Oryzias latipes: one gene and its partner. The protein of the gene in region 1 purifies or fractionates together with the protein of each later gene. This does not show direct contact. Links are inferred from orthologs where the notes say so. Each region holds a gene or a part of one and is shown on either strand. Other genes may lie near its edges. The genes, in order: rcc1l and trub2.

Region 1 (3,821 bases):
CCACTCCCTGATCCTCACCGACAGAGAAGGAGGTGAGACGAGATGTTTGTGCTTTTCTAGAACAGGGCGGGGCCAACAGCCCGCTGAACCAGATCAGGGATGCTGTCTTCTTTCACACAGTCTGTCAAACAGAACAGAACAGTGTTCCCTTTCCACGTTGCAGTTCATCTTTTGCGGTTTCGCTCATTCTTTTAGTGCGATGATGCTTTTTTTTTCTGCAGAAAGTGTGCAGAAAATTCTTCTGCTGCTGGATTGTGGTGTAAGATTTGTTGGTCGCCGCACAAACGCAGCATTTCTTTGAGTTTGCGTTTTACACGACGTGCATCAAATGATGCAAATGCCTCTAAAATGAGAAGAAAAGACACAGTTTTGAAACAAAATGTTCCGTTTTAAAATATATCTTTATTTTCAATCAAAATAATTTTGTCCAGATTCCATTTTATGTATTTATTTATTTTTAAGGTGGATTACCAAAACACACATTTGCTCCTGGTTAGAACCTTTCGTGGACTACGAGTTGAAACGTTGGCGCTAGAAGGAGCTTTGGCGTCTTTTCTTCTGGTGCTTTGGTGGAGCGGAAACCTCCTTCATGTGTGCTTCTGAACGCCACTCCACTGCAGCAGATGTTCACTGTGACGAGTGAAACCAATAAAAATGGACTTTTATGATTTGAAACGAGCTTTGTGGCTTCATGTCTGGCACTCAGGGGAGAGACGTGTCACAAAGATGTTTGTTTCTTTTTGCTCCGTTGCCTTAAATGTTATGTTTTAGTTCATTCAGACGTTCATCACTTATCTGAGAAAAGTCCAATTTCATTTGAGTTTATTTGTATGGAAAGACGCCTCCAAATGAAAGTGTTTTTCTTTTTCTCTCCTGTTTTATATCTGAAAACTTCACTTTTGTGTTTGTCATTTGTTAGTTTTCAGTTTGGGCAACAACGCGTTCGGCCAGTGTGGGAGGCGGATAGTCCGAGATGAAGTCTACAGGTGCGTCGCTTTAACTTATTGCATCATTTTTCTGCTGAAATACAAGATATTTCTCTGATTTAAATCCAGTCTTTTCTTCTATCAGCTCAGTTTTTAAGACAGATAAAGGAAGAACAGATTAATTTAAGAACTTTTTTAAAAATAGGATAAAGCAGAAAAAATCAATCTGCTTTGTGGTTTTCTTGTGATAAAATACTTTAATCTTTCCTGTTTCTTTATGATTCAACATTAAGACATTATTAGAGATAATTTATTTATGTTTAGGAATAATCACCTGATAAAAGTTATATTATATTTTATGATGATGAATCATTAAAACAAAAAAATCTATTTCACTTTTATTGTTTATTTTACTCAGTAAAAACAATTATAAGATAATAATAATGATAAAAATAATTTGATTTAAATAGACTGATCCAATTATAAAAGCTGTAACAGACATTAATGTTTATTACACCAAGGTGATCATTTAAAATGGCAACAATGTTTAGATTTTTCAGCAAAATTCACAAGAAAACTAGACTTTTGCAGAAGTGGATGTTTAAGTTCTGTTCTTTAACCCTTGTGCTATCCTATGGGGTCCATATGACCCCCCCCTTACATTGACGTGTTCTCCCTACCATGACAAAGGTGGATAAAGGTGGAAAGAAGGGTTACTTGAAAGCAGATTTGTGAATAGAAATGTATAATTTATGTTTCAGCAAAGCTCCAGGTTTGGTTTTTCTCACTGAAATAGTTTAGGCAGCTCTCTGGAAATCTCTTGTTTAGGATTTACTTTAGAGATTTGCTGTTTTCCTTTTGGCATCAGTAAAAATCTTAAACGTGATTTTATTTTGAAAAACAGCATCAATCTAAACACAGAAAAACGTGGTTTTGATGGAACTGAGATGAGGATTAACGATTGTAACGATGACTTTAAAAAAAGATTTAAAGGCAAAGTAACAAATGAAAACCTTTAAAGGAATATTTATCTCCTGGATCTTCATAATATTGCAGAACATGAACATTTGTGAAGCTTCATTCTGTTCATCTCGATCTGTTTCGCTGAAAATGGTGTTTTTAGTGTTTTTAACGTGTTATTGTAGCATTTTTCTGATGGTGGAGGACATATATAAAGAAACTTAGGCTTAATTGCATTTCCCAGTATTTCTTTATGCAAATCGTTGTGAATCAGGAGCAAACAAACAAGTGTCGATGAGAGGAAGTGGGGGGGGGGGTCGCTCTATGTCACAGTGTTTTAGATTCAGGCTAAAAACGACATTGTTATAATTAAAGGCAACGCTTTGAACACAGATCAGGAGATCAGAGACTCTGGTCGTCTGACTGACGGTTCCTGTTTTTGGTTTCAACAGCGACAGCCACGTCATCCACAAGATGGAAGGCTTCGGCGACAAGGTCGTCCAGGTGAGGCACACCCGGGCAGTCCTCTTGAGGCACACCCATTGCAAAGTGTCCACTCCGTCTGCATTAAGTAGATCTCTTTAGTTAAGTCAGGAGTCTGCACACTTTCACAGTAAAAGAGCCATTTGGTCCAGTTTCTGACAGACCTGAACCAGAACCAAGTCCCGACTCACTGCTTACAAAAATAAAAATCAAGTATAGCTTTTAAATGTTAACCAGAACTGAATCGTAAAAGTGGTTTTTTTTTCTATACATAACATATTTTAACTTCTTTTACTTTGGACTGCAACAGGATCCTTTCAAAATAAAATACAATTAAGATCTTCCTGCTGCAGCAGATTTACTTAAATTAAAAAGGCTGAAGTCAAACACGGCGTTTCCGATCATTATGACTTGGGTTCACCGCCATCTTTATTTCCCTTTTTACCATCAAATATTAACATGACAGCAGTAAATCCATCCACATTAGTGCAACTATGGGTGTGTCAGAAACGAGGCCGTCGTCCTGCGTTGGCCGGGTCCTTCGTCGAGCGGGTTGACGGTTGTGAATATGAACCGGTCTAGCCTTTAGGTAATTCTAGCCATTACATCGGTGGGTGTCCTGTCGCCTAGCAACCCTGAGTCCCGAACAGAGAGGAGTAGGGAACCAGGATGCTTAAAATGTTCCTGTCTTTATTTGATCCAGCTTTTAATCTCGGAGGTGTAAATATAAAAAAAAAGTGCAATTTTCTCCAACTCCGGGTCCCGCTTCACAGTCCGCCATTGTTGTCAGGAAATCTCTGGGTTCGGCTGCAATGCATCTTGGGATATGAACAGGGGTCTTCAACTTGTGGCTCCTTGGCTTTGAAGAAAAATAACGAAATAAATGATAAATATTGTTTTGGTTAATTTGTTTGAATTAGGTTTAGTCGTTTCTGTTTTTAACTCGTCAGATGAAGGCGCACCAAAATCATAAAAATGGAAAATATCAAGAATATTTCTTATTTAACACACTTATTTGGGCGTATTTTTGCATGTGCTGCTTTTACAGTCAAAGAACATAATTTGTTGTGTATAGAAAAAACCATCACAGTTTATACTTCAATTATTATATTTTATAACAATTTCATACATAAATGGTCTAACGGCCACCGAAACATTAAACGGAAAGTGTTTTTCCAAACAAGAACTTTGTGGCTCTCACTGGGTTTTGCTCTGTGACAAACGGACCCAAATGGCTCTTTTATTGTGAAAGGTTGCAGACCCCCGCCATAGAGGGGCCGATCCTTGAAATCCGGTAAAAGAAGGCCGCCTTTGAAGGAGTCGTTGAATTTGGACAGCACTGTGATGTCAGCAGCCTACAGGAGGAACGCAGCCTATAAACTTTAGGAACTTTGCTTCTAAAAAAAACGACTAGACATTGTTTTCCAGCAGAAGATAAGATTTATTTTAATA
Region 2 (3,921 bases), on another chromosome or scaffold:
AGGGAGAGAGAGGCGGAGACAGTTAATGTTGCGCAGATGAAAGTAGGCAGATCGAGTAACGTCATTATTTGTGAGAATGAAAAGATAGTGAGATATCGAGAACGACACCCAGACGCTTTATCTAAGGGGAGGAGGAGACAGCAGCTGAATCTACAGATACTAGACACTTTGGAAAGGGTGTATTTGGAGCCTACAAAAAGTAGTTTGGTTTTGTCGCTGTTGAGTTTAATAAAGTAAACCAGTTTTTGATTTCAAACAAACAGGAGGAAAAGGTCGGGGGTGGAAGAGAGGAATCAGGTTTACTGGACAGATAGAGCTGGGTGTCATCCCCGAAACAAGGAAAGTCAATGTTGAATTTACGAAAAATAATGCCAGAAGTAGGAAGGAACTGATTAAGAGAAGAGGACCGAGGACAGAACCCTGAGGAACACCCGTAGAAACTGATGAAGACTGAGATCTAATTTAAGTTGGATGAACTGAGAAGAATGAAACCAGCAGAGGGGGGTGGGAAAGACAAGAAAGTCTATGGAGGAGGATGGAATGAAATATTGAGACTATTTTTTCCGAGGATTTTGGAAATAAATGGCAGGTTAAAAATCAACAGTACTTGCTAAGAATATTAGGATCGGAGCCGGGTTTTTCAAAGAACAGTACCAGAAGCTGATAAAGAATGAATAATGGCAGAGATAAGGAGACGGAGAAAGGGGAGGCATGATCAAAGAAGCTGACATGCAGACGGTTTTGACCTTGGATGAGGGGGGAGATTTCACTGGGATCTGGTAACTGGAAAGTAGAAAATGTATGGGAGAGAGAGAAAGAACCGGGGGGGGGGGGGGGGGGGGGGGGGGGCTGATGTATAGTTCTTTGGTGTCACTGGAGTGCATGTGAGAAGGAAGACATGAGAGATGAGACACATTGGATAGACTTATTTGAACATTTGAGCACACTCACTAAGGAGTTAGTGTGAGCACCGGCCTAATTTAATTTAGTCTCATTTTTTGTTGTGCATTAATTAGTTTTGAAGTTATGACTGTATGTGTAGACATGTATACATTTTTATTGTTATGATAAAAAATGAAATTCAAAATAACTTCTTTTATTGTTTGTTTGTTAAACCTTTCCCCTTAACTGAATTGTTTAATAAAACACAACCAAACAAAAACAGGTTTATTGACCTTTTATTGTCGTCCTCCAGTCCAGCAGGTGGCAGTATAAAAACAGCATCTAACCTGGTGAGGCGTGTGGTACAATGTACGCATGCGTCATAGCAATGTGACGGATTTTTGCATCCTTGTGCAGCTGACTGGCGTGACAACCATCTAACAATGTAAATTTATAGTAGTAATAATAGTTTTTAACACCATGGTAACCCCGCTAAAGCTTCGCCGGTTACACGGCTTGTTCTGTGTTTACAAACCCCTCGGCGTGCACTGGAAGCTCGTGCGTGATACCATCGAGACTAACCTCCTTAAAGGTGAGGGGGAAAGCTGTCCTGTCGGCATAGCTATCCACATTCATGTTTTTAAACTGCGTCACGTACATGCAAATGTTCATGAACCTGTCGTTCTGCTGGAGGGAACGTCGCCCCCCCACCGGCTCTTCCCCACAAGGTTCGGTTCTTGGCGGAACCGAGTCCGACCGGCGAGGCCGGAGCGGCGGCGTCGCTGTCCGCGGCACCGGTGCCTGCGCTCTCCCATCATCCTCTGGGTAAGTCGCTGTGGAAGTCGGGTTTAGTTTCATTTCTCAGCTTCAGCCAGAGAATCAAACCTATTGAATAGCCAAAATTACCATTACTGCGCATGCGCTGTACGTGCTCGGGGTTTGAGAGGACGCAGAGAAGCTGTAGAATACCTGTAATTGTGTGCGACCTGAGAAAGCAGGCAACAGAATGAACCAGTCAGTGGTGACGTCAGAGCAGCAGAACAACCATCAGCAGTGTTTCCTGTCTGAGCTCCATCACATCGTTCCAGTTTTACGACTCACTCCTATGAAAACTGTGTGTTTCACATGTTCTTGTGGCATTTTTCTCATGATGGACATCTATGAAAGAATTGAAGCTCAAAGCAGCATTTCCGAGTATTTGTTTAATCAAATCGCAGTGAATCAGGAGCAGACGAAAACATGCAGTTGGAATAAGCTTGTAGATGTAGAAGCTGCAAACTTCCTGCTCTGCTCCATTCTGATGCATCCGCATGTGGATGACTACATCCTCCGTGGCAGTGATGGTGTTAGGAACTAAAAGATGACTGGGAACACTTTTAGAATATATCAGAGGATGATCATAGTGGGACTTTAAGACCAGAATATCAACACTCAGAAAACCCAAATACAGAAAATGCTAAAAGATTCATGAAATGTTTGTAACTGAAGCCAACTAAACAAGAAGCAAACTGACAACAAAAGAATCGTTGAAACATCTGTTAAAAGAAAAAAAGGGACAATTGCAGCACAGACAACATTTGTAATGATCCTACGACAAAAAGGCTGCTCTAAACACACTTTGAATTGAGGTCATTATAAAGGTTGATTTGATTCATGTCCTGCACGTTATGCCCCCCCCCCCAGGTAAAGATTTTGAATAAAGTTCAGGGCCTACAGTTATAAAAGGCTGTTTCCATGTGAGGAACTGTGACTGTGGGGAACAAGTGTCCATCATTGTTCATTTAAAAGGTCAGGAGACCCAGATTTGCATCTTGATTTTGGGATTTCTCATTTCAGTAACCGGACCTGAATTCCAACACATACGCGTTGGAGTCGGCCATCGCCTGGACGCCGCCTCCTCTGGAGTTCTGGGTATGACCTCTCACCTGATCCTGAGGTGATGCTGCTGCATCCAACCTGAACAAAATAAGAAAGGACCGCCCTGTGTTCACGTTGTAGTTCTCGCTGTTGGGAATGGAAACAAGGCTCTAGATGACCTGTACAAGACACGAGTGACCCGGGTAATGCCTGTCCTCTGCTGGTTTGAAGAAGTAGTTCAGCTACACGCTGTGGCGATGAGCTCAATGCTGCTTTTGTTCCTTTCAGGATTATATGCTGGAATGTGAATTTGGGATGGCAACCAAAGACTTCTCTCACACGGGTCGAGTTGTGGAAAAATCCACTTACGGTAGTTTCCCTTTTTTCACAGCGTCTTAAACCACTGAAGAAATGTTTCAGAATAAAACAAATGAGGTTCAGATGTATTTTAAATAAGCAGGTGCTGTCTGGCCTCTTCCATTAGGACTGTGTTAAGGAATGGTTTATACTGGAATGGTTTATACTGCACACCCATAAGTGTTGTGTTTTATCAGGTCACATCACTCTTGATAAGCTGGAGAGAGTGCTGGCAATGCTGGAGGGAGCCAATCAGAAGGCAACGAGAATGTAAGGCAGTGACTGCTAAAAGTCAAATATTTCTCTAAATCTGACTCTGGTTTTTTTCTCAACCCGTTAACACCGGACGGAGCTCCAGTGTTGACTTTCTTCTGACTGCCGTACCTTTTCAACTGCTTATGCTCTGAACCCAATTCCAGAGGAGTCTGACGTGGAGAAAAGCAGCTTTGTGCTGATATGTGACGCTTTAAAGCTACATCCATGCAGCACCTCGCATTCAAGTGGACACTCTCTCTAAAAAGTCAACGTAAACGCCCGTAAACCCAGGTTCAAGGCTTCTGTGGTCCAGACCCTCACGTCATTGAAGTGTGACAGTCTGCTCTACGTGCTGAACTCACACCCACACTTTAGCTGAACTCCTGTTTGGTAATGACGTATAGACGGCGTCCTTTTGCAAACACGGATTTGCCAACCTTTGTAAACATGATTATGAAGGAGAAATTCATATTTGTAACGCACCGGGTCTTTCATCGGAATAGAGCTGAGAGAGAAAAAGCCCCGGGGCAATTAACGTGGGATTTACACCACTTTGACATTTCGCACCAA

Evidence for each region.
Region 2: the proteins of rcc1l (region 1) and trub2 purify together in Homo sapiens (affinity purification with mass spectrometry; 3 studies listed by BioGRID and IntAct, with this or other methods). This does not show direct contact. The link is inferred for Oryzias latipes from reciprocal best matches to the Homo sapiens genes RCC1L and TRUB2.

The regions. Positions count from the first base shown.
Region 1 is NC_019872.2:27,476,647-27,480,467, forward strand, and holds part of rcc1l (RCC1-like G exchanging factor-like protein), read left to right. Parts: coding exon 1-32; intron 33-919; coding exon 920-986; intron 987-2,338; coding exon 2,339-2,390; intron 2,391-3,821. UniProt on the Homo sapiens protein: Guanine nucleotide exchange factor (GEF) for mitochondrial dynamin-related GTPase OPA1. Activates OPA1, by exchanging bound GDP for free GTP, and drives OPA1 and MFN1-dependent mitochondrial fusion. Plays an essential role in mitochondrial ribosome biogenesis.
Region 2 is NC_019863.2:528,995-532,915, reverse strand, and holds the start of trub2 (mitochondrial mRNA pseudouridine synthase TRUB2), read left to right. Parts: upstream 1-1,239; 5' UTR 1,240-1,362; coding exon 1,363-1,474; intron 1,475-1,572; coding exon 1,573-1,707; intron 1,708-2,718; coding exon 2,719-2,793; intron 2,794-2,880; coding exon 2,881-2,942; intron 2,943-3,027; coding exon 3,028-3,109; intron 3,110-3,293; coding exon 3,294-3,366; intron 3,367-3,921. UniProt on the Homo sapiens protein: Minor enzyme contributing to the isomerization of uridine to pseudouridine (pseudouridylation) of specific mitochondrial mRNAs (mt-mRNAs) such as COXI and COXIII mt-mRNAs.